2 linked regions of the Mytilus edulis genome follow. The protein of the gene in region 1 purifies or fractionates together with the protein of each later gene. This does not show direct contact. Links are inferred from orthologs where the notes say so. Each region holds a gene or a part of one and is shown on either strand. Other genes may lie near its edges. The genes, in order: tRNA (adenine(58)-N(1))-methyltransferase non-catalytic subunit TRM6-like and tRNA (adenine(58)-N(1))-methyltransferase catalytic subunit TRMT61A-like.

The links.
Region 2: the proteins of tRNA (adenine(58)-N(1))-methyltransferase non-catalytic subunit TRM6-like (region 1) and tRNA (adenine(58)-N(1))-methyltransferase catalytic subunit TRMT61A-like purify together in Homo sapiens (affinity purification with mass spectrometry; 4 studies listed by BioGRID and IntAct, counting the BioPlex papers as one, with this or other methods). This does not show direct contact. The link is inferred for Mytilus edulis from reciprocal best matches to the Homo sapiens genes TRMT6 and TRMT61A.

Annotation. Positions count from the first base shown.
Region 1 is NC_092346.1:19,643,285-19,660,177, forward strand, and holds the start of tRNA (adenine(58)-N(1))-methyltransferase non-catalytic subunit TRM6-like, read right to left. Parts: upstream 8,719-16,893; 5' UTR 8,650-8,718; coding exon 8,543-8,649; intron 6,368-8,542; coding exon 6,237-6,367; intron 5,910-6,236; coding exon 5,803-5,909; intron 5,525-5,802; coding exon 5,433-5,524; intron 4,149-5,432; coding exon 4,065-4,148; intron 2,044-4,064; coding exon 1,919-2,043; intron 1-1,918. Other genes in the region: peroxisomal ATPase PEX6-like, read right to left, coding at 11,799-11,944, 12,403-12,542, 14,021-14,098, 14,726-14,842, 15,554-15,662. UniProt on the Homo sapiens protein: Substrate-binding subunit of tRNA (adenine-N(1)-)-methyltransferase, which catalyzes the formation of N(1)-methyladenine at position 58 (m1A58) in initiator methionyl-tRNA.
Region 2 is NC_092346.1:23,880,609-23,897,466, reverse strand, and holds tRNA (adenine(58)-N(1))-methyltransferase catalytic subunit TRMT61A-like, read left to right. Parts: upstream 1-8,107; 5' UTR 8,108-8,161; coding exon 8,162-8,486; intron 8,487-11,648; coding exon 11,649-11,915; intron 11,916-15,754; coding exon 15,755-16,251; 3' UTR 16,252-16,364; downstream 16,365-16,858. UniProt on the Homo sapiens protein: Catalytic subunit of tRNA (adenine-N(1)-)-methyltransferase, which catalyzes the formation of N(1)-methyladenine at position 58 (m1A58) in initiator methionyl-tRNA.

The sequences.
Region 1 (16,893 bases):
TGAGCGATTTCTGTAATTTAGTTATTTTTTTATTTTGATATTACCTTTTTTATCCTATTAATTCAACAGAAAAAAGTAACTTTACAAAAATGTATGCTTCTTTCGAAGGCAGATTGTGAGCATAAATAAACGGTGACCCCCAAGGATCCGGAAATTTTTTCACCTAATTTCGGTCATTTTTGGATAACTTAAAAGTTGGTGCCCTTTTTCAAACAAAGATTGTGTGTATGCTCATACAGTCATACTCGTAGCATCAACGAACTTGTTTAACTGTTGCATCGCATTTACTTCAGAAATTTCCCTACCATTTTCCTTAAAATCGATCTTGAGCAATAAAAGGAAGGCAACAGTTTAAAAATGAAATGATTTTAATGACTCAAAATGATAAATTTCTCAAATTTCGCTTACGTTTGTTTCCATTTTGAAGACAAAATTATAACCGGATGTTTTACGACAATAGTAAAACGACCAATTCCAGACTCATTTTCGGGATTAGTTTTGTTTATCAAATTCACAGGAAATCGTCGGCTTTTTAACTGTTTTACCTTTAATAGTGTTTGAATATTAATTATAATAGTTGGACTTGTTTAATTTAGCATGAAATTATTTTGAATTTACGATTTAGTGTCTAATTTTCGGAAGAGCAATTCAAGCATGCGTATTAGTAAACAAAGCACATGTGTTTGTAGTGAAACAATATTTTGTTCTACGTAACTTAATTTAATTTTAATTTAATTTTAAATCAGAATTGACAATTGTCTAAGCTGAGAAAAGTAATTAAATAATGCAGACAGTTGTTATGAACTTTTAATTTCTTTAAAATATTAGTTCTGAGCTTGTGATCAATAGAAAATTTAATTAAAAACGCAGGTAAAGAGATTAGTGATCATTAGACAATATTTCCCCGAGGCATTACTATAGTTATTAGGAGGGCCCTCAAGATTATGACACTTTACTGGAGTGGCAGTTTTATAACAGGAAAAGGATAACAAACAAAAAATAAGTTCAAAATGAGGATTTAGATTATGTTAGAAACTCGATCTCAACAAAATGACATTAATTAAATGACCGAAATTGTTTCTGTAAAAAAATGAAATTTGTCCTAAATCCCAATTTATACTCATTTAGGACAAAATACTTCCAGTTTAGGTCAAGAGTGGCATATATGACCGTTTCCGGACCCTTGGTATCCCCATCTTTTTATTTGATTTTTCTATTACGGTAAGTATAAGATAAAGTTCATTAGTAGAAAAATATAGCGAAATCCTATATTAAAATAAAATTTTGATTTAGACCCGCGAGCCACCTTAAACTGTACTATGAATTATCCACTGTTAAATGTGTAGGCAGCAGCAATTTCAAACAAAACTTTTCATGCAGTAACCCATGACAGTCACATTGAAACTCATTTAATTTTATCATACACCAAGTCTATCAAAAACTTTCTATTTTTAACCATATCAACGTTTTAATTACCCTTTGTTAGTTTAAAAGAATAGTCTGTATAAAAAAATGGAACTTATTCCTATCTGGAACCTTTTATAATATGACGAATTATTAGTGACAGAAGGAACAAAAATTCAACTTTACCCATAAATGAAAGAAACTAAATTTTAATTTATAATTAATAAGAGGAAGATTTTTTACTTTTTCATTGGAAAATGTGGTCTTGAGAAACATATTAGGAGGAACTCTTCTTGAAGAAGTCCTTAGTGCTCTATATAATCAGACTACTACTTCAGAAAAGTCCAGGAAGTAAATAAAAAAATTCATGTCAAACATAATTTGCGTATTACAACCTCATAAAAAAATTGTGTCTCATTGAACTTTTAAATTTAAGGTTAATATATACCCACAAAATCAACAAAAGTAAAATACTAATAATCACAGTATTTTATTCAATAGAATTAATAATCACCTCCAAGTCTTTCTAAAACTGCTCCAACCACAAGTCCATTAGTAGTATCCACAACAGCCATGTTACAATTCGCCCGAACATTACTGTAGGTCAAAATCTGGGCTAATGTGTCAATTCTTATGTGGCTGGAAATAAAACAGAAGACCATAAAAATTTCTATTGCAACTCATCTTTCATCTTATTAGGTCTTTCCACTTTTACGTGGAAAGACCTATTGCTTTTCTTCTGATTATTATTAAATTTTTTTAATTATTTTTTCTTCCGCCTAATTTTTTTCCTTTGCTGTTTTTTTGTTTCGCAAGATGTTGCTTAGATATTTGGAATATGAAATCGAACAGTTTATACGCTTTTGAAACCAACTCGGCTTAGCCGAATACTTTCCCATATAAGAGGTATCTCCCGGAACACTGTTTTTCTTGTTATCTCTAAGGCTTCACAACTGTATAAGAAACCGACAAATTTATTTTTCCAAATTGCTCCTTATATCCTCAGGATGTTCTGTTTTATTTTGACCGAAGTCTTATAGAGATTCCATATGAGAGTTATTTCCCTTTTCGTATTTGAAATTTTGAAATGTATTTAAAACTGGAAAACCATAAGTGATAGAGGCCTAGGTTTTTTTTATTTGAGGTCCTTGGTCCAAAAAAATTAAAATGAGGTCAAGGTCAAAGGTCAAGGTCATGTTCAAAATCTTGATTATGGCTTGTTATTTCTTATTTTCAGAAATATATCGACAAAATATTTTCACACAATTGTTTGTTGCGGCAAGTCGTAACAAATAAATTTTAGTTGAAAGGGTATGTAGATGATTGAGGCGAGTTTTCCCCCCTTTTATATCTAATATTAGTTTTATGGTAATATAACTCATTAACAGAATAAGGTAGAGGCCTAGAGTCTTTTGATTTGAGGTCCTTGGCTGATGACCTTGAAATTGAGCTCAAGGTCATAGGTAAATTTAATGTTCTAGATTTTGACCTTTGCTTTTACCTCATATGTATACATGATAAAGCCATGGGGCTTTTTGCATTAGGTTGTAAGCAATGTGATCTAGAAAAAGCCAACTGGAAGTGACCTTTTGTAAACCGGAAATAACTATATTTTGTACTAAATTAATGTATATAGTATATAGAACCATATATTTTTGGAATCAGTGTCAAGTAAACTATCAAAAAATACCGGAAGTAACATCTTTTAAACCAGAAGTAAAAAATGATTTCCCTTATTTATATCTATTTGTATAGAAACCATATATTTTTGGAATCAGCATTCAATTGACCCTAAAATTGACATTTAAAACCAAATTTTAATATTTTCATATAAAAAAAAAATCTTTACTAGTTGAAAGACCATCAATGGTTCTCTGAATGATTGGTTCTTATTTCTATTATTGTTTATAGGGGTGAAATAAATAATACTTGCATACAAATCAGTACAAGTTTAAATAATCAAATTTATTTTTTTACATACCGTAAATTTAAATACATGTATAAAAAGACATAATTTTATTTCTTTAGACGCAGACTTTTTTACTTGATTTTAAATACATGTATAAAAAGATATCATTATATTTCTTTAGACTCAGAGAAAAAAACTAAGGACAGACAAGCAGCTTATGCATATTTTTTTCTTTTATATTAAATATTTCTACCTGGAAGAAAAAGCTGCATAACATTACAATATTAAATTTATACGGCTTTCTTCTTCGTTTTAAAAACTAAAATATGAAATACTATTCATTCCTTTCAATAATATGTTGACAGCAATACATGTACATGTATTTTAAATAAAACGCTAGGATGAAAGGCCTGGTTTTAATTATTCAGAATCTGCCATAAATTCACCGTTTTAGAATCTAATGCATTCTGGGTGATATTTTCTAAACAGTACAACAAAATGTTGTAATTGGTTAAAAATATCCCAAACAATGAATATTTAACCAGTTACGTGACAGTTTTTTTTGTTGTGGTACGAACAATCTAATTATACCAAAAAAAAAAGATTCCAAAACAACCAATTGATGCAAAACACAATAATCTTATTTCGACACCCTACTGGCAATTTTATTATTCAAACTTGATGATGAAGAATGACATGAACATCCTGACATGTATCATAGTTCTATTTTTGAACATGACAAATAACATACCATATTTTCTGTGGAGCTTTTCCATGGTACATTTCACAAAGTAATCTGGCTGTTGGTTTCAAAACTGTAAAAATCTGTAAATGTCTGAAAAATAAATTCATATTAAGTGAGTGTTAAGGATGAATTCTTCTGACGTTTCAGTCTCATTGAAGTCCTGTTATGGAATTATTTCCAAAGCATTTGATACAAATGAAAAATATCAATGAATTAAAAAATTATTATAATAAAACTTAACTCTGTGAAGATTGGTTCAATTCAACTTTATTGGAAGTATGCAAAAAAGTTTAATTGTGAAACTGTGCATTTTATCATGATCAAAGTCCAAAAATAAGTAAAAATTGATAAAAATTTAAATTCTAGAAATTTTTGGCTCCTCAGAGGTGAACCATACAGTTACAAATGAGGTAATAACAGTGCTACCACTTAAGGAGGCTAGCGGGTACAAAAATTTCAGAAAAAATTAAACATTTGTTTTTTCATTACAAATTTGAGTTATTACACTATTAGTTATTACTTTATGATATGGTAGAAAAATCAACCCAAAAATCGATTTAGTTTCGCCCCAGATGACTTTTAAAATGTTAATATCATTGAAAAAGCTGCAAATTATCTCCCTTTTGTGCAAAAATGACATTTTTTGGCATTGAAATTGAAATATCTTTTTTTAACACATCGGTGACCTATATTTTTTATTATTATTTTCAAATAAGCTGTACATAAACTAAATAATTGTAAAATTTTTGCGATTTCTGTAATTAGGTTATTTTTTTATTTCGATATTACCTATATTTCTCCTATTAGTTCAACAGAAAAAAGGACATTAACAAAAATGTAAGCTTTTTTCGGAGGCAGATTGTGAGCTTAAATGAACGGTGACCCCATATTTTAATTTTTTTTTCTATTAGGTATAGGATAAAGTTAATTTATAGAAAAAATTGGCGAAATCCCATATTAGAAAAATAAGTTGATTTATACCCGCGAGCCACCTTAATGTTATTTTTTTCGTAACATTGCAATGGGAAAATGTTGTTTTTTTTTACTAGTTTAATCCTTTTCTAGAAAATAATAAGAGACCACTGTTGGTTTTTTAAATTACATTTAGATCAATTAAATAGGATAATTATAAGGGTTGTTTTTTTTTAATTCACAATGAATTATTACACAATAAGTTAAATATACAATAGGAAATCTTTTTTTTTTCATAAAAACATGAAAATATAATAAATATGAAATCATTATCAGTTACACTATGTATTTTCAGGAGTCACTGTTTTTATAAAGTGTGTCTCTGTCTCAATCTTAAATAAGAAATTTGGCAATAGCTGCTAAAGAAACAGTTTACATGGCCTGATAGACTTGTCGTTTTACTTTTTCTTCTTCTTCTTGATCCATTTTTCCTGTGCATATTCTGTTTTGTCCTTAAATGTTGTACTATTTTCTATTAGCTGACCGATAATTTTCTGTAAAATAAAAGAGAGCCTTATTATCACAAATACATATATGCTTGAAACACTAAATCCAGTATTGTTTGGCTTAATTATGATTCTAACCATGAGTATAGTACTTGAAATTTTAATGACAAGGCCAGAAAAACAAATCTAGAGTAATTCAGCACAGATGTTTTCTGATTAAAAACTTTACATATTTTATCAATGTTAATAAATATAAAGTTTTCATATTCATATCAAAACTTGTATAAGAATTACATGTTTTATATTTTGAGTCACTTATTAATTACCTCCCCTTCCATACCAGTCTTTTTCATTAGTTCAATGTCATCACGTGACAGTTTCTGATTGGAATCTAAATCATGCAGTCCTCGGTTATCTTTTCCCTGTTCTGTTGCTACAATGAGTAATATATCTTTGACATCACATGCTATACAATTACAAATAAAATTAATCTGTGCATGCTAAAAATATCAAATACTTGATAAATATTACTTGTCACAAATTCTACGAAAATGATGGTGATGTTCTCAATTTCTTTTTCATAAAACTTTTCCTTAAAACTAATAATCAACAGTGCCAAAAGGGAAATAACTTGTGGATTAATTAGAACAAAGCGTGGTACTTATTTCAAAAGTTAATTTCATGCTTTATCAAAACTTTGCTTTCACATGACAATGATACTGTTCTGTCTTATTCGAGGCACATTCTTTTCTAAACTTACACTGGAAAGCTTCATCCAGTTCCTTTTTGTTGACCTTTACCATTTCTCCATTTGTGACCCTGAAAGTTGTCCCATAACGATGTCCAATAACTCCATCTAATGTAAATTTCACTTTATCTAACCAAACAAATCTATAATAATAAACAATAAATTTAATTTGTAAATTACATGTACATTTTTGTTTATATATAAATACTTTCCGACCAGTAACAATACATATGTCATGTATGTATAGGTGTAACTCAGGGCTTTCAAAAGTAGCAGGTAGACGGCGGATAACCGCTGTTTACGGTGGCTTCAAGTGCCGCCTACTTCACTGACAAAAATATAAATTCAAAAAGAAAAAAATATCTTTTTCAAATGTTTACAGGCAGCTGAGAGACGTATTGTCACAAAGTCGCGGTCACAGTTAACAGGGATGAAAAGTCAGTGTTTACCATGGGCTAAATATAGTTCACATGAATTCAGGTCACTGATTGGTTGTCTATTTAAAGTCAGAATGCATTGTTTCTTTTCAAAGATAACAAGAGAGGTTCCGGTGGTCATTGAACGATAACAAAGAGACGTTTCGATGGTCGAAGTAGATCATGTTGTTCTAAAAACAGTATCTTTTGAAGTTTATTTTTCAAAGCCCACGTGGTGTTCAGAGAATCATGGCCAAAAACGAAGGTAGAATATTGTCGACTCGACCACAAATAACATTTATGTATCCGACTTATTGAACAGTTTACGAAAAAAATAGAAAATCAGAGAATATATCAATTTTCTGTCATTGCTTGAAAAATAATTGTATGATTTAAATACGCGTAATAGTCTTTGGAGAAAAAAGGTGGTCATTTGTTTACAAATGCACGTAGTTATGCAAAATAAATCGATCAAGATTTCTAACAAATCAGATTATTTATATAAATAAAACTCCTTTAAAAGCAAATAAATTTTTAATAAGCAAAGGTAAAGAAAATAAAAGACAAACCATTACATAAAAGAAAAGAAATTTCTTTGAGATCTTTTATCTTTCTTTAAATTCATACATAAAAAATGGTTATTTGAAAGATGAAATTGGGTGCCAGGAGAAATTCGAGAATGCAGGATTTTGCTCTATTTATGACAGAGCTTCTTGGGGCCTTGAGCAGCCCCCAGGCCCCCTGCTTTCGCTGAACGCATGTCACAGCCACCTATAATTGTAATTTAGCCTACTACTTCAATTTCAAGGGAAAGCCCTGTAAATAAACTCTTTCAAAATATTTGATTTTTTTAAATTTTAGCATACATGTATTTCATAGATTTTATTTGTATTATCTGGTTTTGCGCTGGTCTTCTATTAAAAATCTGTTGTCTAAACATGCTAAAGTTCAAGTTCAAAAAGCTTTATATAATATCTATAATAGAGTATAAACATTATCCCTATTTGGAAATTTGTCCCAGTTGACCTGATAAATTATATGGTTCGCTACTGACCCCCTACGGATCCATAGAGGATGAATAAAATCCATAGGGGATTCAGCCGGACGCATTCATAGAGGGTTAGTCAAATCCATAGGGGGTGAGGCCAGCGGCCGAATCCCCTATGGATTTTATTCACCCTCTATCATGTCTATGGATCTGTAAGGGGTTAGTAGTTAACCGTATAAGGAATTTATCGCACACTGCGTTTTTGTTGAAAAATAAACGATGAAACAGAACCACATTAATAGCAATAACTATTGATGTCCATCACTTTTCCATTGTGGTGTCAAGATACACATGTATTATGATGTCAAATTTTTAGGGGAACCTTTGTGATGTCCTGACAAATAGCTATAAGCTGTATAAAAAACATAAGCTATAATGTTTTTAGATTATTTTATGATTCACTAATTATGTTTATACTTCAGTCTTGACGTCTATAGTCTAAATAATTATGACCTCTTGGAAGGCTATTTTAATTTTTGCTTTGATGCCTTCCTGCATCGATGTAAGGCGACAAAGATAAAAAAAAATATATCATAGCCTTTCAAGATATCATAATTATTTGGACTAGTATAATTTGATAAAGAGTACGTAATATATTTGTATGCAATGTGATGAAACTAAAAGCTCTTTATAGAGCCCTTTAATTGGTAATAAAATATTCTTATTCTTATGGGTAAACCGGTGTTTAAGGATTCAAATTTTCAGCTATTAAAATTAAAATTATTGAATATGTAAAATAGCCTTATAATATATATATATACATGTCAAATTATTGATCCTTTTTTTATGTTGATAATTACGGTTTATTTACATATTTAAACGTTTGTTTGTCAGATTTTTCCAGTATCACATACCTCTTCTTTTTAATCTGAAATACTTGACAACATTTTCCTTTCTTCAGTATCACCTGATCATTTTCAGACAACAATTTTGTTGATGAAATATTTTCTGCACATGCCATTTTAGAAAATGAAAGTACAATTTCGCTTTCAATTATGAACTTATTACGTGGTTTTTAACCCCCATTTGATAAACGCACAAATGACTTGGAAAGTGATGCGTAATCATGAAGCGACATCTATGTAAACAATTCCACGTGGTAAAACGCGGTTTCACTTTGATTGTTGTATCCAGACTTCCCAAGCAACACCAACAAAATGTAGACGGAACAAAAGAAAATGACAGATTCTTTTCTTTTCAGCAGACCCAGTTGTGGAACATTTTGTGAATACAGCCAGGTAAAATATCCAAAGTTTGTTCCAGTAGAGGAAACAAAGAAAAGCTACAAATTTCCAGCCAGCAAAATTGACAAAGAAGCTCCAAAATGCTGGTTTGAATTACAAACTTGGTACACAGATTATCTTGATGAAAAGTCATTTAGGAAATTTGAAAAGAAGAAATTGAAAACATCACTCAGTGATTCTGCTGTTGGAAAAAAGTCCAAAGGATGTGAACATCTGTGTGAATTGAAACAGGTTTATTTTGATTGGACAAATAGGAAATCTTTAATTACAGATAAACGTTTTGGTACAAACAATCTCAAATACCTAACTAATGGGTCAGCTTATGAACAAAATGAAAGTAAACTTTCTGTAGAACTCTATATCAAAATAATGAAGCAACAACTGTCATCTTTTCGACTTTGTCAAATGAAAATAGAATTGATTGTTCAATGTTTACAAATGTTCTTCAAACCATTTGATAATACAATAGTGTTATGGGTTACTGACGCTGATCTACAAACTCATACTGATAAAGCGAAGAAAAGTGAATGTAAAGACATTTTCAATGAACCTTTGACAGAAAATTGTATGGATGTGAAAGCTGTACTATACTTAGATAAATCTGCAGCTCGGCTCTTGAGACATAAGGATATGTGTATGCTTGATACACTTGCAACTTTAATTGAAGTGAGAAAAGACAAAATAATGATCCTCCCAATGTCTATCCCATGTGCATCTGTTACTGATCAGACTGCTGTATAAAAAAGGTGTAATTTAAACTGAAAAATAAATATTATGATTCCTGTTTTCTATTTTATGTCCATCTAAAATCAGGAGAGCAGTGGTGCAGCCGTTAGTGCATCGGACTTCAAACACAAAGGTTCCTGGTTTGATCCCCAATCTGGGGTGAAAATTTCAGAGACATAATTTTTGGCTCTCCCATGATACCATTTGTGAGTATGGTCTTGAGAAATGATAATAGTCCGACGAAAGGGGATGATAAATGGCTGACCCGTGTTTAGAGAGAGCAATATCTCTTGCATGTAAAAGACACTCTTGTAGATTTTCGAAAAAGAGCAGGCTAATGTCTAATTAGTTTGATTGCAAAAGTTTTGAGAATTCCCTATCATAATTTCTTTGGTAGATGTTGCTGATAATAAGGAAGGTATTAAACCAAGAGTTCCAAGTGGTTGCTATGCGGAGTAGGTGGATTGTTATGGAATATGTTTCACAGATGACTGATACAATACAAATGTCATAGCCACAATTTGTCTACTTTTCCTTCAATGTGACTTACTGAACTAGACTAATTACTTGTTTGTTTTTAAATGAGCAACATGGTAGGTGCCACTTGTGTAGCAGAATCTGCTTTCCCTTCCAGAGCATCTGAGATCACCTCAGATTTTGATGTGCTTCTTGTTGGAAGTTGCTTAGTTTTCTAAGTTGTGTTTTGTAGACTGTTGTTCGTCTTAGGTTGGGTTTTTTTTCCAATTTTTTGCTGAGGCATTGTAATTTCTTTTCAACTAGTTTTGACCGTTCCTATTGTATCTTCTGTCTTTCTTTTACAATTATACAACTGGTCATTCAGGTCAAAACTTAGCAATGGTCTTTTTTCAAATTGTACAAAAGGCCTCATATTGTTGATAACATTCAAATTAAATAAAAGAACAATTAATTAAGAAGTCATTATTTCACTCATTATGAATATTTGTTCTTCAATTTGTTATGTAGAGGTCCAACTTGGTACTAACAAAAAATTCCAAACAAAATATAATTCTATTTGTAATGAATTATTTTATAAAAAAAAAAATTATTTTTTTATTTGTGTACATGAGAATAATTTGAGATGTGTGGTACATGTCAATGAGACAGCAAAGCCCCAAAAATAATTCTTCTAGACTCTAGAGATAAAAATAAGTTGGGTTTTTTTTAAGGGTCCTTTCAATATTGTAAAAAGAAACATTGAAAAGCTGGCACTGCCAATTTGATGCTCCCTGAATTGCAAATTTATTGAATAGAAAAACTTTTTTTTTTTAAATGGTTCTGCACCATTGATACTTATGTGCCAATTTTCACCTGTACAAATGTGTTACAATCAATATAATGGAGACTTGAAATAGTATCCAAAACAATGACAAAGCAAGGACTATATGATCAACAGAGTATCATGAAACCAAAACTGTACAAATACACATGGAAACCATTTTGGTTAATACACTTCAACCAAACTTGGCAGGATATGGGGCACATGAACAATAGCAGTTCCAAAAATATACAAGAGTCTCATAAGAGCTCCAATTGCTTATCTGGATTTTTTTATGTAGATCTTGCATCAATGATTATTTTGCTGTTTTATATATATTAATGTCTTTAAACATGCCACTTAAAGTTTCTATCTATCAAAAAAAACAAAATCTGAAAAAAATTTGGTAACAACCATCTTTCAAGGATTATTTTAAGAGTAATAACTTTTTACTTGGATGAGATTATAGCTGAGAAACCCTGTCTTTGTTTGAAAAACCATGGATAATATATAAATCTTGCGATACAGAACTATTGAGGCAGCCATACAATTTATTTGTATTTAGTGTAAATAATCAAAGAATTATTAATCCAAGAAATTAAATATAAAAAAACAATCAAGAGTGACCATCCACCATATAATTCAGTCTTAAACAATGAGCAAAAATCTGCCATTTATGATCAGTTTTGAGATTCATGTATAGATCATTGCTGCTACATCTTTATGCTGTCTTCATTTCATATATGTTTTATTATATAACAACAATACTGATTTACAAATTTTATTTCATATTTATTCCATTTATATTCATCAGTTTTTAACAATAAATTATAATTATCACAGATTTTTAAGGACAGGTTTTCATCAAGATGCAGAGTTTCCAGAAAAATAAGCTCTTAGTTCTTCATAATGTTTCATTTCATCATCAGATAAAGATGGTGTTAAAGCTGACAAGGACTGTAGAAAATCATTCTCTGATACAATAACGTTTTCTTGGTCAGTTGTCTCACCTGAAAAGAAAAGAACAATATATCATTAAATCTAAAACAAAAACAAAAGGTCCACTTGATTGATTATCAACACATAGATAAACATTCTTCCAAAGAGGATGCTACTTTTAAAATATTCAAATAATTTTTTGTAACACTGAAATGAAAATTTTTGTTAAATCATGGGAAAAATTCTTCATGACTTAAGGTTTACCCAACCTTTTCTTTATTTGCACAATTTTTTTTACCAAGGACTCAAAAGTAAAGTTTGGGAAAACAGATCGAAAGACATGTTGATGTCTGCCAGTAAATGAAGGTTAGTATTTCTGGGAATTCTGTTTGATAATTCAATATTTACCACCTTCTCAATGTCCTTATTTTCAATCAAAATAATCCTGATTGAGAAGCAGAATGTAATCAGACATAAAATAGTTAATTGTAAGTTGTTAATGGACATTAACTATACAAAACCTGCTTACCAGCTTCTAGCATGGTGATTTTTCTTTTCAAAGCATTCAGCATGGCATCAGAAGCTAAAGCATAGAAGTCAGCACCAGTTAGATTCTTTGGACATTTCTCCACAACATTTCTCAATTCTAAATTCTTCTCCAATTTAAATCTAAAAAATAAAAGCATAAAAAAATCAGCATCTGTTAGGACATCTTTTAGCAACATTATTTGTTGAATAAATTTTTTCATCAGTTAATTCTAAAAAGTAAAAAAGTTTTAAATTTTATAGAGTCTCTATTGACAACAAAACTCTAGTGTTAATCCTTCCCCAGGTCATCTTCGCTGGCCAAGGGTTACAATCCACTCCCGTTCTCTTCACCCTTGGCGGATTGAGCTAACATTTCGGAGACACAAGGTAAGGATTTTTATTGGTTGCAGTAGAAGCTCGCTGCATCCAATCAAAAAGCTCCTATAACATGATCACGTGTAAATGTAGAAAGTGTTTGTAAACAATTGCCATGTGTTTATATTGTGCAACAAGTATTTACCCCACTAAACATACGACTATATTTAGTGACAACTCGAATATTTTTAATCAACTAATAGCAGTTCCTGTGTATGTTTCATGCTGACGTATATTTTCGTTTCCGGCTTTACCAAGTGTGTAGAATCTAGACGCTTCCGTGATTTTACCTCCAAATTGAAGAGTTCAAGTGCTACCATTGGTCAAGAATAATGTATTCGGAATGGGCGTGACTTTAATCTTCCGATAGATGGTGCTACATTGATATCACAAATGTTAGCTCAATCCGCCAAGGGTGAAGAGAACGGGAGTGGATCTTAACCCTTGGCCAGCGAAGATGTCCCCAGGTTTAAATCTACAAAAGCATAACATGCATGGAGTCGTTGACCTATCAAATTTCCATAACACTACTGGAGAAAAAAAATTCAAAAGCAACTTTGACATAACCTTCTAATTAATTTGTCTTTTGGTTGATATATTGCTCATTGAATATAGAATTGTACCACATTATACTATTAGAACCATGTGATTCAAATTCAATACCACTCATAATTTTTTAGTTTAAGATTGCATGAAATGCAATCAAAACCTTATGGGACTGACTTGATATCTAAATCTTCCAAACCTTATCACTACCTTTTTGATACACAAAATATAATGCATTGATCATAACATTCTATATTGATTTCACTGTCGCAAATATCCGTTTACCTATCTCTGCTCCATGTAACTAGGTAAACTTAATTTGACAGTAAAATCTACATTTTACGAAGGCCAAGCTTAAAATACAATACAGTTTTCTCCTAATTTTACTTCCACTGATAAATTGAAGCAATCTGTACCCTTCAGTACTTTACAAGCACTTTGATTTAATCTTGCAGATACTTTCAATGTGTCCTTTATTTTGCAAGCATTGTTATTCATCAATTCCTACTTTTCTATGGTCAAAGCAAAACTCAATGGTTTGTGAGTTTTTAATTCAAGGTTTTCCAAGTTTTTGATTCATTATTATGAGTTGGGTACCAATTTTTTGGATTTCCTCTGATTTGATGGACCACCAATTTTTATTGTTTACCAGTTATATATTTCATGAGATGAACAACTGGTTCCTATTCAAAACTAACTTTCTTGTTAATGCCTGTAATATCTTCAACTGGGAATCAGTATCCTGACTAACTCCAAGATACAGTAACTTGTCAAATCTGTAAATATATTTTGTATATACATCTTGTTGTTAAATATGAAACAGAATGGTTGATTTCACATTTATATGAAAAATGTTAAAAACATTAATTTAGTAATTAAAATGTTTATTTCTTTAAATCCCAAGGTCTTGAAGATTAAAATACCCGGTACATAAAAGTAAAAAGTGCTTAAGGTCATACAGAGTTCAATATGCCTAAGCCTTTATCATTTATAAATATATCATTGGTCTGCATACATCAATCACTTTATCTTGGTGTCCTGCTTTGTCCCAATTAGACTTTGGAAAAAAAGATATTTTAAGGCATATAAACATTTACTATGCAGTTAAAATTAAAGACTAGTCTGAAAATCCAACCATTTTGAACTAAAGCTTATACAGAGACTTTTATTTCTTTAATAAATTAGTTTTATCCAAACACAAACGCACAAAAAATATCTACATGTAGAGATAAAATAAAAATTTATAGTTGCAGAAAAATTTGTGTTCTCAAAAATGAACAAATATTTATGAATTGACAAAAATTTCAAGTATCGTTCGAAATTTTGTACTCCATTATCATGAATAAGGAAAATTTTTAATGACAAGAGTCTTTCCTGAGATTGAGGATCATAATAATGATTACCTTCCAGGCCTGAGTAGGGCAGGGTCTAACAGGTCAGGTCTGTTTGTAGCTCCTATCACAAAAACATCACTGGATTTATGTAGACCATCTAGTTCTGCCAACAACTGTGACACAACTCTGTGAACAAAAATATCTTTACATAAAAAGTACTCTCCAATATAAGAGAAAACAATTTTAACTTGATTTCTGTAAATTTGACATCAATAGGCTATTTGCCAATTCCTATAATTGACCCTGTAATTAGAGATCCCTTTTGTAGTTGTCTCCCTTATGAGGGACATTGATTTTTATTTACAATGAAGAGCTACCAGAAAGAGCAAATTTACCTGTGCCTAATGTGAGTAATCTTTAAGGTTTTCAAATCTTTTGATTACATTAATTTGTTGTTAAGCAAAATACTTTTGACATCAGAAATTATTTTTCATGAAAAATTAGTTAAACTGCTGATACATCACTTTCAATTCATTATGCTTTGCATTGGCAAAAACCAATTTTGTCTGGTATGGAACCAGTCTACGATTGACAACGGGAAGTAATTTGTCGGTAATTGGCAAATGGACTATTGACCAGTCAATTTTGCAATGTATTTCCATTGTTTAACATATATATGCATGCTTTGTGTAGAAAGACAACTAATATGACAAAGAGTTCATGGAAATAACATGTTTGTGGCTTCACATATAATTATAATAATAAGGTTCAAATCCCTCGGGCAAAGTTGACCTTTGCTGGATTTTTGAAATTCTGTATATGCCCTTTTGTTATTTATATATTTTCATGTGTCAGTGAGTTGGCAACACCTAACTTTACATCCTCCATCATAAATACCTATCCATAACTCCACCAGAGTCTCCACTTTTCCCTCTGTTGGGTGCTAAAGAATCTAATTCATCAAAAAATATAACACATGGTGTGGCACTTCTAGCTCTTTCAAATACTGTAAAAAAAAAAAACAAGATTAATTTCTTCAAATATATATTTTTTACTCTGGAAAATAGTACAATGACACTGGACAATCATGCATAAGTCAATTTTTTTTTTTTTCTTATTACATTTGAAATAGTAGTTAATGTAATATCTAGTATTGGATAAAAATAAGTTCTTATCATATTTTCGGGTTTATTAGGTACTTTCAAAATTGTAATATAAATCTTTTGACATATTCTGCCTTTTTTAATAATAATACTTTATTCCAAAAGCAAGTACAGCTTATAGGATATACATTCATTTTTTGACAAATTAATTATACATGCACCATATTAAATAAACAGACATATAATAATCAAATGTTAACTACATTGAGATACATTAAATTACTTGTATACAATACAATTTCAAGTATAACGCAGAGTATGAAATTCATAAAATTAATAAAAGTTAGCAGCGTAGTTTCTCCGCTAATTTTAAGTATTTACCAAGATCGTTCAGTTCTTTAATATTCTGTACAGATAACAATTGTATCAATTTATAAGTAGAGGGGTGTCTCCAATAATATTGTTTGATATATTTTTCTCGAATGTCAGCATATTTATTACATTCCAATAAAAAATGAAATTCGTCTTCAATGGAACTTGTATTACAATAAATACATAATCTATCTTTCCTATCAATATTATAATATCTTCCTGTCTCTATATTCAAATTATGTGCACAAATACGGTACTTACAAATATAAGAGAATAGAGTGAGTGGTGTTCTGAAATTTGGAAGTCTCTAAACTGTTGATTCCAATGGGTTTTAGCGCTCTGAGTTGGAGGATCCAATAATCCTCTCTTTTGCTCCTAAGGACGTCTGACGTGTTGTCATTAGGATCGTTCCAGAGGACTTCGATGATTTCGAAAGACATATGGTGGATGTTGTGTCCTGTCTGGTTGAAATGTTTACCAGTAGGTTCCGTTGACTTATTTTTGACATATCGGAGATGTTCGCCGAGTCGAGCTTTGAAAGGACGTTTGCTTTTCCCAACATATTGTTGTTTGCAAGACTTGCATGTAATCATGTAAATGATATTTGGTGTGTTGCAGTCACCAATATAGTTTTTTCTATATTTGCGTTCTGTGAATGTGCTTGTGAAAGACCTTCGGAAATTGATCCAAGGGCAATAGCTACATTCTTCGTTGCTGCATTTGGTCAACTTATTTAGTGTACTGATACCAGATGTCCCCGGT
Region 2 (16,858 bases), about 4.2 Mb from region 1:
ATTCACGATGAAAGCATGGAAGATGTAGTGTACGGAGACGACGAGAAATGTAATCTGCTAAATAAATATTTTAGTCTGATTTCCTCCCTAGAGGAGGAAGGTGTTCCAATACCCGAAATTAAGCCAAGAACAAATATTTTTTTAAAAGATTTAGTAATTGAAATAGATGAAATAGTCGATATAATTAAAATTTAGATCCTAATAAGGCATCTGGTCCAGATGTCATAAGCCATAAAATGCTGAAAATGTGTCCTGAAAAAATAGCAATTCCCTTAAAAATAATATTTAATAAATCCCTACAACAATGTAAATTTCCCACCAGCTGGAAGATTGCTAATGTAATAGCATTTTTTAAAAAGGGAGATAGTTCGTTACCATCTAACTATAGGCCAATATCGCTTATAAGTTGTGTAGGGAAAATAATGGAGCGAGTTGTTTATAAACATGTCTTCAATCACCTACATAGAAATAAGTTAATATATGAATACCAGTCTGGTTTTCTGCCAAAATATTCGACAGTTCATCAGCTTTTAGAAATTTATAATTCTATATTAAATTCATCAGAAAATAAAGAAATTAGCTGTTTTGTTTTTTGTGACTTTTCTAGAGCATTCGATAAAGTTTGGCATAAAGGATTGCTACATAAAATGAAGTCATACGGTGTTGACGGAAATTTATTAAATTGGTTTCAAAGTTACCTAAACAACAGACAACAGCGAGTTGTTATTAAACAATCTTCCTCTGAACTTTGCAGTATTTCAGCTGGTGTCCCACAGGGTTCTGTTTTGGGACCCTGTTATTTATTATCTATATTAATGATATTGCTGAACACTTGATTTCTTTATGTAGATTATTTGCAGATGATACATCTCTGGGCTACTCTAGTCGTGACACGACACAAATACAATCAGTGATCAGTCACGACCTGAGTGAGCTCAGCGATTGGTCTAAGAAATGGCTGATGTCCTTTAATCCAGCAAAAACCGAAAAAATGTTGTTTTCATACATTGAAACTCCAGAAATGAATTTCACTTTCAATGGTAAGAGGATTGAAGTTACAGACTTCCACAAACACTTGGGTGTTACATTTAGTAAAGATGCTAAATGGAACACCCATGTGGAAAATATCATAAAAAATGTATCTAAACATTTAAATGTACTTAGAAAATTAAAGTACATGATAAGTAGGAGCAACTTAGAAAAGCTTTACTTGACTTTAATTAGACCGCTTTTCGAATATGCATGTGAAGTTTGGGATAATATGGGTGTGGGTTATTGTAAAAAATTAGAACAGCTGCAGCTTGAGGCAGCCAGAATTGTAACAGGTCTTCCTATTTTTACAAGTAATAGAATTATTTATGATGAGATTGGTTGGGAAACTCTAGCTGAACGAATAGAAAGAAGGAAGTTACAATTATTCTATAATATTCAACATAATAATGCACCAACCTATCTTTGCAATTCTATTCCACCAACAATCCAAAGTACAGCTGTTTATCCATTACGTAATGGGAATGATATAATATACCCTTTTTGTAGACTTTCATTAACCCAAGAGTCCTTCATACCTTCAACAATATGATTGTGGAATAACCTTAATGTGGTGACACGCAACATTGACTCTTTAGGTAAATTTAAAACCGAACTAAAAAATCTTAAATTGAATTCAAAAGCCCAAGTACCAAAACATTATGACTTTGGCAATCGTAAACTCAATATTATATTGACACAACTTAGGTGCTCAGCTTCTTTTTTGAACTATGATCTTAACAGAGTCAACATTATTTCAGATCCGTCTTGTAGTTGTGGTGCCAAGTTCGAAGATTCACGTCACTTCTTTTTTTATTGTCCTAATTATTCGAATATAAGAACCAAATTATTTAATAATCTACATTGGTTACCAGATAACTCTCTACTAAATTTGAACACCTTAACCTCCGGCGATAAGTCTTTAAGTAATGTTGAAAATGAAAGAATTGTAAAGAATGTATATGAATTTATTAAAGAGTCTAAGAGGTTTCTAATTGTGTAATGTAGAACATAATAAAGTGCAAATACATGCATATTGTGTATTACCACTCACATCATCACACACCATCTTTTCAGAGTTCAAATATGTTATATATATATATACATAATGTATTGTTTGTATGCATGCTTTGTAAATATTCTACTGTTATAAATTGTTATGGGACAAGACTTTATAAGTTTGATTAACTTGTGTCTCATCCCCTTTGCACATTTACGCAAATAAAATATGTTTAAACTAAACTTATTTTTAAGATTTTTCACTAAATTTTCAACATAGATGTTTGTTTTCTTTTGCATAACATGCTTACAGGCTACATTGCTAAGGGAGAAACTATTGTAAATGTTAAAATCTTAAGAAAGATAAATCTTACCCTACCAAATTGTCTTTTGGTTACACCATTGACTTAAAAAATGAAACTTTTCCTTATGGTGAAAATTTGTATTATAAAACCAACATACACCTCCCAAATCATTAAAGTAAAATGGTTTGTATGCATCAAAATTCAATAAATAGTGATAAATTATCATAACAAATGATATGAATAATAGTCATATTTCAGGTCTGAAAGGATTTATGGTAAAAAATAAGTTAATTCTGGCTATATCCAAGGGTTTAAGAAAACATTAAGGATAATTTTATTTACATTTCATATTGTATAATTTTTTGATAATGACCCGCGTATCATAAACTGCCATTATAAGAAATATGTTCACTTGTTATAAAAAAAAAAAAGAAGAAGAAAAGGAATAAAGAAAAAAATAGTCGTTGAATTTTGTTACCATGCCTTAAATCATTATATGGTGAAATTTTAGGTTGTAACTTTGTCATATAGTTAATTTTTTGCATGTCATATTGGGGCGCAGTTGTTCTCACTCTTTCGCATAATTGTCTTGGTTTACATAAAGTAGTAAATAAGATGTTTACGCCAAACAGTGAGTTGCGCAGTTTTAGTAAATGAATCCTCTTTGTGAAGAAGCGTTCAAAGTCTATGACTGAAGATGGAACATATACTAGGACTCTGTTCACACTAGCATTTTTTTTAATCGATCTAATTTGAATCGAACTAAATAAAATCAGTTAGCGTTCACATTATCTCTAATCAAAACGATCTTTATCGGTCTAATCTGAACCAGTGCGTTCACACTACAATTAAAAACGCAATCGATCTGACCTTTTTACCCGTAAAACTGTAAACATTGCGTATAATTAGAACTAATTTATCAAATTAATGTGTTGATACAATGATACACACACTTGAAAGTTATTGTTTCTCTTGAATCACAAGTTTAAATTTTGATACTGGTACATGAATTATTGAAGTTTAATTTCTTGAATTTGAAAATAAAATGTAGCAACGAAGTTACAACATGACGAAATACTGCGGTTCCTCAGTGAAAAGAAAAAAATCAACAAGAAAAAAAATCAACATATATGAAAAGATGACACAGATTTCGCGAAGGAGTAGGGACGGTAAGGGCCGATTTTGGCCTCAAATTTCAGGTCCATCTAACGGAAGTTTTTGGACACTTTTTAAACACTTTTAGTGTCTATTTCAATTGATTCGATTAGTTTATGTGAAAGCTTTTAACTGGTTTATTCATTAAAAATGCTCTGATTCAAGCTAAAATATGAAAAATCTATCAAATATGCCAAAAAACGTCACTTTACAGATGTTTTTTTGTCAAAAATGAAAGTGGCCGCATCCGTGTTCATCCTCAACCTTCATACATATTTTGTATTATCATCAAATACAACTTACATTTCAATATTATGGATGAACACGAATGCGGCCACTTTCATTATAGACAGAAACCGTCCAAAAATTAACCAAAATGGTAAAATTGTGAAGATTTCAGTAATTTAGCATGACTTAATGATGATAGAACGCGATATTTGTGCATTGTATTGTCAAACACAGCTCATATTTATGCAGCAGAAGCAGTTTACTTTCCAAAATATAGCTTAAAGATTACATTTTCACAATTTTCTAAAACTGCTATATTTTGGGGCCAAAACGGGGTCTTACTGAACCTACTCCTTTCTCACGGTGTATATTCATAACGCTTCCTTTCCGATAGAATCGGCGTTCCTGCTTCCTTTCCGAGTCAGAAAACGCGTACTTTCCGATACTGTACACAGAAAAAGATTACAACGATTGAATGGTAGGTGTCCTTTTATGCCAATTTATGCTACGTCGAAGACAACATGTTTTCATTTTGTTTTATAAAACGTGCATGTACACAAAGGTCTGTTAACAGAGAAATATGGGCTAAACAATGAACCAATGATATATAGTTTTGCCGCTATACATGTGCAAACATTATTTTCGATTCAATCGTACTAGTTTAAACCGATCTATGTGTTCACATTTAAAGTAAGATCGGTTTACTTTAGATCGATTCAAACTAAACTATCTCTTTTGGTGTTTTAGTTTAGACCGATTGAAGACCGATTCAAAGCGTTCACATTATCCCTTAAAATTAATCGATTTAAAGTGAACCGATCTAGTTTAAATCGCTCTAAGTGTCCTAGCGTGAACGGGGTCTAGTACTTGGTTTACATTTGCAAACATTTCACATATTTACAAACTTTTTTAAAACCCTTTTAAACTAAAATAAAAAAAAATACCAAAACCACTTAAAACAATTAAGGGGCACTACCTACGAGATAAATAAAAAAATAAAATATTATTTTTTATTCGTTCAATCATTTATAAAAGTGAAATAGTGAAATAATAATTAGCTTTTAGCAGGCATTATGGTTGTTAAAATAAGCGAAGAAACATTTATAATGTATTATTCACCTGCAAGTGAATAATTCAACCTCATTAAATCCGTATTCATGTGAACTTCAATATAACACCTTAGCTAGGGATGGATAATGCACGAATTGTGCGTGTATAGTTACTCAAAGGAAAAGAATGTCAGCATTGAAAGTGAAACAAGGATAAATCATTTGATTGACAAATTCGATTTAAAAAAAAATCATCCTTATATAGGTAAAACAATTATATGGTTAGACTGTTTATTTATATAAAGAAAACTTGGTGGTTTAATTTATAATACAAAATATTTAATCAAATATAAAAGTTCGTGTTTTGAGAACATTTGTTTCAAATAAGCTATTTAAGGGGAGACTATTAAACTCTTTTAGTAAAAAAAAATATATACTGGCTGATAGGGAAATTTTTAATTTTGACTTGTAGCAAGAAAACATTTTTGGTGACACCTTTCTTCTCACTTCTATCTCGTATATTTATTTAAGCACACACACGAATCAGTTTTCATGAACAATCTAACCAAATTTAGGCAATTTCAACGACTCATGATCAGAGCTTGAAAATAGCACGGTGATCCATACTTATTAATATATATTTAATTTAATTAAAGCATAGTAAAATCTTCATTTTGGCAAAGTAAAAGAAAATTCTATCTCAAGAAATACATACTTACATGGCCCGTATGCATAAAACATCTTAACTCAATTATTTCTTAGACTTAGATTTCACTAAGAATTCCCTTAGTTAAGTAAAAATCTTAAGTCGTATGCATAAACTTACTTAAGTCTTCACTTAACTAAGGAATACTTAAATCGGAACCTTTCTCTAATTATCGTATGATAAATTATATATGATTATATTAGCTCATTATCCTAGATTATCTCAGATAAACCAGGGGTGGTGTTCTCGAAGCTATCTTAGGATTAGGACGTGTCCTAAGACCATCTTAGGACAAGTCTTTGTCCTAAGTCGTGTTCTAGAAGCTCTCTTAACTTAGGATATATCGCATTTTTCGTCCTAACTTTAGGACACATAATTAGGTGTCTTCAGACCATCCTAACTTAATAAAGTTTGGAAATTGCTTTTTGATATTTATTTTACGTGAAAATGAACACGAAATGAAACGGGACTTCGGTTTTTACCTCGTATAGAAAGAAATAGTGCATGATTTTAAACTTTGAACTTCGTGTATCACGATACGATGACATTACACATTCAATTATCATTTCAGTTTAAAGTGCAATCCTTTTTTTATATAATTTTATAATCATGATAATTACATTCGAAATCATGCATTTAAATCTTTACATGTAATTATAAAATTCTTGAACAAATTTATTCATTGGTTTCATCATTAATAAATGTTTTATCAAAAAATTAAATTTTGCACTGAGGATAAGTTTAGGACGTCCTAACATAAGATGCGTCTGAGATAGCTTCGAGACACAGCTTAAGAGTGTCCTAAGTCAATCCTAAGTCCATCCTAAAGTTGGTCTTATCTATGACTTGGGACGAATCTTAGGATACTTTCGAGAACACCACCCCAGGATTTTCTCAGATAAACTAGAATTATCTCACTTTTTTACATTTAGCTCAAATAAACCGGGATTATCTCGATTTTCTAAGTTTCAGATAATGCCGGTTTATTTTTTTTATTTTTTTTTTTAGATAAACCGAGTCTAAATTAAAAATGATAGAATTTGTTCATACTTCTGTTTATACTATTGTTCATCATGACTTTTCCAAACTGTAGTAAATATTGATATATGTTCAAAAATATAATAAAAGTATAGGTCACCGCGCATTTTCTCAAGCTACAGGTTGTGACAAAATGGCACATTTATATGGATTATACTTAATAAAACTTCTTTTATGTGATTAAAAGCTAAACTAAATGATAGAATTGTAAAATAGAAAACGAGAAGATGCTTTTAGAAAATGATTTGGAAATATCAAAGAAAAAATTAAGGGTCACCTTACGTGCGTTTTTTCCTCCCGCTAAAATGCAAAATAGCAAAATTCCCTGCATATTCCTTCAGAAAATGCACTATTTCAAAGTTACCTCCACTGAATTGTAAAATAGAAAACGAGAAGATGGCTTTTAGAAAATGCTTTGAAAATATCAATGAAAAGATTTATGGCCACCTTACGTGCGTTTTTTTCCTCCCGCTAAAATGCAAAATAGCAAATTCCCTGTATATTCCTTCAGAAAATGCACTATTTCAAAGTTACCTACACTTAAAATGCTAATTTAAAAACATTAAAAATCAAGCAAAAAATTATCTATCTATGTATGTGTCATTTTGGTATCTTGTGGACAGTTGTCTAATTGGCAATCATACCACACCTTCTTTTTTATATTGTTAAAATATTTTATGATCTTAAAATGCAAATTCATATCAGTTATCTGCATTCCTGCGTCAAATTTTAGACCTTTTATTCTTTGGTTTTTACAATCCAAGATGGCGAAAGACACCCATACCACCTTAAGCTGCATTTGGAGTCGGAATAGTTAACAAACAAGGAAATCATGATATATAAATAAGCTATGATGATCTTTCAGTCGAGATATTTATAACCGATGAGTCACCAATTTTCAGTTATAGGTTTTATGCAAAATTTTAGCTCAATCTGTAACATAGCCCATTTACAGTTTCTCGGCCGTTATCAAGTTTGCAGTATGGGCATACGATACAGTTTAGATCCCATATTGAAATTTTGCATGTATGTTTTTACCTGATTAAAGAGGGTCATTAAATCTGAGAGATATATACACGTGTGTATATATGTCTCTGATTAAATCAAATATGTTATAAAAATATACCATCATGTGCTACTTTTTGAGTAAATTAAGGTTGAAATTAGATATTTCCTCAAATTTCGGATTTGTTGCCGTATTTTTCCTTTCGACAGAAGTACATAACTTTTTTGTTTTAAAAGATAAACACAAGCTTCTTTTTGATAATTTATTTGTAATTTCTGTTTTATATAAATGTTCTATTAGTTTGTACATCTTATTTCTACAAATAACTCATATTTAACAAATGTTCATGAATGTAGAATAAAAAAAGTCATTTTTTGCTGAATATTTATCCAATTTAAAAAAAAAATGCACTATTGTCTTTTTCATGAAAATTGATACATTTAAAATCTCCATACGTAATCAAACCACATGTCATTTTACCATGACCAGATACATATAATACGAATCTGGTTGCGGTTTCGATTGTGGGTACATGGTAATGTGTCAATTTTTTAATTACCGATTGGTTATTAGTTTAACCTAATGTTATTACGTCCCTTAAATCATACTTCCGCTAAAAATAAAAACACGTGAAATTCTACCAAAAATGAGTTTCAAGGAGTATAGAACAAACATTGAGGAAAATGACACTGCCATATTGTATCTTGGGTTTGACAACATGCATGCAATTAAAGTTGTTAAAGGACAGACGTTTCAAACGAAATTTGGAGCTTTAAGATTGTCAAACTTGATAGGGAAACCTTATGGAAGTAGAATACAATGTCCAAAAGGATATTTGTATGTTCTGTACCCTAACCCAGAATTGTGGACCCAGAATTTACCTCACAGAACGCAAATTTTATACTCTACTGATATCAGTTTAGTAACATTACAGTTAGATCTGAAACCAGGATCTGTGGTAGTAGAATCAGGTGATCATACATGGATTTTTAAATGTTTGTGGATAAAAAAAAAACCGTACCTTAAATTGTAAAAAAAAATCTTTAACACTGAAATACATTTAGAAAAAATCTCCCTAGTTATGCAAACAAAACATCAGATAAAAATTTAAGGAAATGGTAACAAAGTCTTTAAGTGATGGTTTTCGTCTCTCTTGCAACATTTGAGACATACATTGTACTCCTTGTGGCTTGTTGTTGATACTTTGATGACAACAGTACTAGCCTAGTGGTAACATTGTTGTTGAAGGCAGGGTAATATGAGGCAGGCATAACCTGTGAATGGGGACGAAGTCTGTATGTATTATTTTCTTAATTCAATTATGAAACCGAAATACCGTACGTAACGTTCCCGATTTTGGTTCTGTTGTTAGGGAATTAGCTGTGACGTTCTTTAAGTTATGACGTCATATTCGATGTAAACAAAAGAAACGCTTTCATCAGGTAACGTAACGTTTTTTTTCATATCAAACAATTATTAAAATTGAATTTGTATTGAGATTCAATCTTATGTTTTACTAGACTGATAAATATAAAAAAAAAATCAAAGTCTCATGCAAACAAGACAGATTTCTGCGCAAATGCGGGAAAACCGGAACAGGAACTAGATCTGAAAAAAAACGTTAACGATTTTGAGTTCATTAGTACAATGAAAAATTCGGGAAATTTTCCCAGATTTTTTTTTTTTTTTTTTTTTTCATTGATTTTTCTACCGTAATTGGGGACTTCGTCCCCATATAATCTAAAGATATAAAGAAGTTGTAAAATCTAAAATATCCACGACTCATGAGTATTTGTTATATAAAATAAACATGATAAAAGGTGTGAAGTTTTAGATATATAGCTATGTGTCATGGTGTAAGCAATAGAGGTATATGCAAAATGTTATGCTGGTTCACCTCATATATCTTATTCAAAAGCTGTTAGTTTTTTTCTTAACCTCTAAGGCTCTTTTATATCATAATCAGCAAAAGGTAACAGGATAAGTCCTTACAAAAGTCAGAGATATACTAATGAACAGATATATTTTCTATATGGATGCAGGACGTGACGGCCATACTGCCATAGGATGTATCCGCCATACCCCGAAAAGATGAAACAGCCATATAGGACACAAACGGCCATACTTTGTGAAGACGTATCATCCATTTTTTTTAATTTTTTTTTTTATAGATGTTATATATGAAATATTCTGATACTTATAGATGGTTATTATAACTTTTAAATAAACAATACTGTTTTTACATAATTTATCATGTTTAATTTTGTCATATCCTCCGAAAGAAGGTTGTTAATTGCTTATTATAACTTCTTTGATGAACACAAGTATTAATTATGCTTTTGTCAAGAAATTGTAAAAGAAATACAATTCGAGATCACTATAAAAATACAGCACCCTAGCTGAGTTCAAGTGGAGTGCAAACATACATTAGGTAGTGAAATTCTTGTAAAAATACAAGCTGTTTGAGCAGTCTTTTTGATGTACCGACCTTGCTTTATAAAAGTAACCAGAAATGTCGGTGGCACTCAGTCTCTATGGTTCATTTACAATTTTTTTTATCAAATGAAGAAAACTTTTGAGCAATATATTGGGCGCGTGTCTCTGTTTAATGCAAATTTTGAGTATACAAATTTCGGAGGTGTTAATCCTTTAATTAGTTTACGAGATTGCCAATTATCAAACAAATTTACAATTATTAACGTAAAGGTGTATGCTGTATGGTTTATATGTTTGTTGTATATTATTTGTTTATCTGTATGACTGAATTAATAAATAAAATATATTTTGTGTTTCTTATACTATATTGGTATGATTGTCCATAAGCTCAGTCCATAATACCTGGGACTATTATACTAAATCAGTATAATAGTCCAGGTAATACCGTTCCATTTCTCCATCAACAAATGAACAAAAATGGGAACATTTAAATTGTCAACAAACAGTGTTCAACATAATGAACAAAGCAATAAGAACATTCCTGAAACCATCATTTATCATGTTACATGTGTAAGGGTGCACATTCGTAATATATTAGGGGTAGTTTGTTTTGGTGTCCTTGTTATGGAAAATTCTACAGTAGTCTCTGTCTTGGAAAGATGTTCTGCAAAAGGAATGACTGTAAACTATAAGAAAGAAGAAAAATACAGAATTATTAAACTAAATATATGATGATCATGACAAATATAACTCAAATTGCCTTCCGTAGAGTTAACGTGACCTTTACACTGAGTACTGTTTTAAATTTCACCAAGACTGATTTTCTCTACAAATCTTTTGACTTGTAGAAGTCTAGGTAGAAGTAGACTATAAAATCATCACAGATTTGTTTAGAATAATATATTTCTTACAGATATAATAAAAAGATCAGTAACATGTGCTTGTAATTTGTATTTATATATCGTCTGCCATCGAAAGTCAGCATTCCTATAGTTTCAACTTCATATAAAATAAGATGCCTTTATATCACATTACGATAAAAAATAATTCTTCAGAAATTGTTTCTAACTGATAATGAAGAAATAATCAATATACTTACATAATATGGCACCACCAAGATATAAACACGAGTGATGATGATGATAAAGCAAACTTGAGATAACTCTTACAAGAATAAATAAAGGTGAGCAGTAGATCTCTTGTGCAGAAAAAAATACTACAAAATCAAATTCATGTTATTACTATGAATAAATACTTATTTTATTATTATATTATATGTTATAACTTCAATAAAAAAAAATTAAAGTGTGGACGATACGTCTCACAAGATATGGCCGATACGTCCCATGGATGTGGCCGTATGGCCGACACATCCTAGGGCCGTCATGGAAATGTGGCCGTCACGTCTTGAAAGCTTCCATATGTAGGGGAAGCCGGAAGAGCATTTGCAACTCTTTGTTTCTGCTCTATATGCCAATGGCGTACAAGGGCAGTAAGTAAGTAAAGTAAGCATTTTTCAAAATGTTCAGTCATGAAAAGGAACATGATATTATATAAAAATAAGCTGTTGAATGATTGCCAGTAAGACAACTATCCACCAGAGACCAAATGACATAGATGAATGCAATGATTGGTTATAATTACTGTACAGCTTATCATATACCTATTAAAGTAACAAATAAAAATCTTTATTTTAGGAACTGGCAGTGGATCTTTGTCCCATGCCATCATTAGAACAGTGGCACCTGAAGGACATTTATATACATTTGAATTTCATGAACAGAGAGCACAGATAGCTAAAGAAGAGTTTGTGGAACATGGTGTTAGTGATTTTGTAACTGTTACTCATAAAGATGTATGTCAGGATGGATTTGGATTAAATGGTATAGCAGATGCTGTTTTCCTTGACTTACCAAGACCATGGGATGCAATAACTAGTGCTAAGCAAGCTCTCAAAAAAGAAGGTATTTTTTTCATGACAAAAGTCAATAAGTCAATTTAACACCTTACAAAAGTTCTTAGAGGGTGTAATGGGGTGGGGTGGGGAGGGGGGAACTTCATGACAAATCATGGTAAAATTTTGCCAATGGTAATTTTTGGTGCATGACGATAAAATGTACCCTGAATTTTAGACTGTTCAACTGGTCAGAATTTTGAACAAATTATTGAGTCAAAATGTAAAAGTGCAAGGTGATAAAATAAAACATACTTACAATCCTACATGATTTTTGTCCACTTTAATGTTGTGACAAAACCTGCCAAACAGTTTGTATAGATATATTATAATCATTACCATGCTAAAGGTGAACTGTTGGTAATTTGAATTGCTATAAAAATATCTAAACTAAGCTTTCATATATTGTCTTTCGAAAAGCCTTCTATATTCATAAGAATCAAACATTCTGTTTGTAGGAAGTTTCCATGGGGAGATAATAATTTTTTCTTTCAAAAAGTTTTTATTTTAAAGAATAATGTTTTAGGTTATCTCCTATGGAAACTTATCACTAACTTATTGTTATTTCACACATGGCCCAAGACCACAATTAATGACCCCGCTTTTCGTTGTCCACGAATATAGTTCCTTTTAAATAGAGTGTATTTTTCCTTAATTTATTTTCTTTCCCTTCCTCACTCATTTCTTAAATTTTTTGGGGTGGAAATGAAAGAAGAGAGGTGAAATAAATTTTTGGATGTTGTATTTTAACTGATTTTGATATGGAATGAGTGATTAGGCCAAGTGCAAAAAGGTAATATTTACAGTTTTCGGAACATCTCTTGACTTGTCAATAGGGGTATGGATGTGTATTGGCTAAATTTGTAAAAGTGATTGCTTCAATCTTTCTGAATTTTGGATATATATTTGGACTAGGACTATACATTACACACACAAAATATTTGACAAAAGTGCATGGTGCAATTTTTTTAATGATGCAAAAGTTTATAAAGAACTGATAGAGGAATTAATTGTGGTCTGTGGCCTAAGAGGTGCATTTCAGCAAATTTTTAATTTTTACTTTGGCATCTTCTCTGAATGATCTCTTGGTATTAATTTGTCAAACTACATGAGAAGAAATGATTTTCACTTTCATTTGATAGAAATTTTGTGAAAAAGTCACTTTTCAGGTTAAATTCCCAAAATGTAGCTTTTTCACTTTTTTCAATATTTTTTCAAAAACAGCATGCTTAATTTCTCTCTAACAGGTTTTTTCTGATATCTATTTGTGTTTGTGGTATTTATTTCAGTTGTTTAACTTATTTGTGAACTCTGAACACAAAAAAAAAGTAGATAAAAACATAAAAAGAGTGCAAAATGTGCTGTTTTAATAGTCTAAGTCTAACGGTCAGTTTATGCAGCAGGTGAAATGTGAAGTTGTATGCGCTTAAAAGTTGTATTCCTAAACAGATTGCACTGAATCTATATCAAAAACACTTATTACTGGTTGCTTAACCATTTCTGTTTCACAGACTACCTTTACCTTCTTCTGTTGGATAGCTAGTGGCTAAAATATTGGCCTTTTGAGGCTGAAATTTCATTCAGGTTTTAAACAGTAAAGTTAATAAACTTTGCATCAAACCATACTGTCTACATATGTAGTTGAAAGTGACAGTCTTGTTACATCCAGGCTACATGTTTTATCATATCTAAGCACAGATTTAAGCAAAATGAAGCATATCTCCATCTCCCATATCATTTATATGCTTTTTAATATGCAAATGTGGGGAACGGCCTAAATTGACAACCTGTTTTTTTAAGCATGACATTGCTAAAGACCATTTTATCCACATGTGTTATGCTATTTGAAACTTATATTTCCATTAAAAGTACATTTATAACATGTTCAAGTTTTTTTGATAACTTAACAACCATAGAAAATTGTGGTAAGTGAAAAATATTACATTTGATATAAGGCCTCACTTTATTTGAAAACCTCTATTTTTTGGCACAGGCTCATATAAAATTAACTTCTGGCCATTTTTCATAAGTCTGATACATGAAGTATGCTTTCTGTTGCTTTAAATAGATGTTAACTTATACATAGAGACATTAAAAAGTGTTAGTTTAACTTTTGGTATCTTTTGATTTTTAGAAGCTCAAATTTGATAATTGAAATTGTTTTAATTCAACGCCACAATTAAGCACCCAAAGTTCAGATATAAAAAATGCCACATTTTTTTTATTTGGTATCATATGTCTTTGAAACTTTGTAAACTGTTTTATAGTATACTAAGCTTGAATCATGCCAAGTTTTATTAGAATTGGTCAAGTTTTAGGCCACTAATAGGCCCAAGACCACAATTAATGACCCCGCTTTTCGTTGTCCACAAATATAGTTCCTTTTAAATAGAGTGTATTTTTCCTTAATTTATTTTCTTTACCTTCCTCACTCATTTCTTAAATTTTTTGGGGTGGAAATGAAAAAAGAGAGGTGAAATAAATTTTTGGATGTTGTATTTTAACTGATTTTGATATGGAATGAGTGATTAGGCCAAGTGCAAAAAGGTAATATTTACAGTTTTCGGAACATCTCTTGACTTGTCAATAGGGGTATGGATGTGTATTGGCTAAATTTGTAAAAGTGATTGCTTCAATCTTTCTGAATTTTGGATATATATTTGGACTAGGACTAAACATTACACACACAAAATATTTGACAAAAGTGCATGGTGCAATTTTTTTAATGATGCAAAAGGTTATAAAGAAGTGAGAGGAATTAATTGTGGTCTGTGGCCACATATTTTACATTATGGGAGGTAATCCAAATCTATTTAAAAAACACTATTTGATTACCTCCCTTACACTGCTTGTAAATTATGTATTAAAAAATGATGATTGTCTTGAGTTGATTAAATTTATTTTTTTATTGATAAATATTAATTTTAGCCATGACTACAAATGTATGTATGTCAGTTTATATTTTAAAACTTTTATGATGTACATGTATTTAAATGGGTAATTATATTTGGAAACTCCATTAGAAGTTTGAAATGAGATACTGACCATATCTTGAGGGAAATATTTTTTTGGGGAATAAGGGAAAGGGAGGAGATGAAAAAAAGTTGAGGGGGGGGGGGGACAATTTTTCTCATTTCTTGAAATATTTTTTTTAGGGGGAGCATAGTATGTTGCAAAAAAGCAAAAAAACATGGTAATTTGGGGAAAGGGTCAATTTGAAACAGCATAGTGTATTGCACAAAAGCAAAAAATTCAGATCATTTAACCAATTTGAAGTTCTTTGGCTACTGTTATTCTGTGTCAGAAACCTATTATGTGTAAAAAATTTAGTTACAATCATAGTTCAGAATTGTACATGTATCAAGCCTGAATTTTGTGTCCATTTTGGCCCCAACTTTTCAGGGTTGGACATCTGTGGTCGTATCCAGCTGTGCTCAGCAAAGCAATTTGTTCAAACTTATAAAGCAACTCGTTAAAAATCCTAAGGTTTCTTAACTGAAAAATGAGGTGTGTTGTGGTTTTAAATCATTTATTGATTTATGTTTAAAAATAAAATTCATAATTGTTCAAATATTTTAGAGGCAGAATTCTTTACACAAATGGGGCGGAGTTTTATGGAATAACATGAAAATAAATATGTTGTACCATGGCTAAGCTCTGCCTGCTTTCCTTTAGATTCTAGTTGAGTTGCATAGTTAATTATTAAAGTATTTTACAACATCAAATTGAAGATAATATACCAAGGTTTTCCCTCAACACACTTTTTAAGCAAATTATTCATTAAAAGATCAAAAGAAAAAATACAATTTCCGTTACAAAGAATATTGATCAATCATTCTTTTTATTTAGGTGGTAGACTATGTTCCTTTTCTCCATGTATTGAACAAGTACAGAAAACATGTGAATTACTACAGCAACTGGGGTTTGAAGATATAACATCTATGGAATGTTTAGTGAAAAATTATGATGTAAGAACTATTAATCTTCCTATTGCTGATTTAGGTAAAAATAATTCAACTTTATTAAATACATGTACAGCATTAGATGAAAAGAAAGCATGCAAGGAGATTGAAGAAAAGGCAGATTTAGTGAAAATACAGACTGAAACAGAGGACTTAGAAACTAAAGAGAAATTAGAACCAATGGACACAGACTTGAAAGAAAAGTTAACATCAAAAGACAAAGACAAGTCTAACAAAGCAGTTGATAAAAACAAACTAAGAACTGATTTTGATTTGATAGGAAAGAAAGAACAATTTAGCTTCTTTTTTAAGACTGGGGTATTTCCTCAGAATATGCCTGGACATACAGGATATTTGACTTTCTGTACATTATATCCATCATGATGGGGAAAAAATTATTGTTCTACAACATTGTGAGATAGAATCTTTATAATACATTGTACTTTAAATCATTGTTGATAGCATGTAATCATATTTGGTAAAGTGATTTTATAAAAGGTATTTTTTGTTAATTTGAGTAATGAGATATTCAAAAAGCACATGTCCAGCAAACACAGACTATACCATCAAAAGAAAAAAACAGATGAAAAGTTAGATAGAGGTCCCCAAAATACTTCACAAAAAGCTAAAGAATTTAATTCTGGTGATTCAGATGCTACATTTGTTAAACTTTGGTTGATACAGGTTACTTATAGGGTAATGTAGTGTCGATGCTCACTGTTAAAGTTCCTATGGGTATTCATTTGATGTTGATGAATAGGTTTCTCATTGGAATTATGGACTTCTCATATATATATATGTATATTTGGGGGTTTGAGGGAGTGTTGATTATTGTGATCAGATGGATCTGTATTGTGGAAGATCTTATGGTAATTTTTTAGTTGTTTATTTGCTATCTTACTGACATGTACCCCATGCCTTTTCATATTTATCTACAAATGTTTCATGAATACTCCAGATATGAAGAACAAAGTCAGGCCAGGTAAATGTG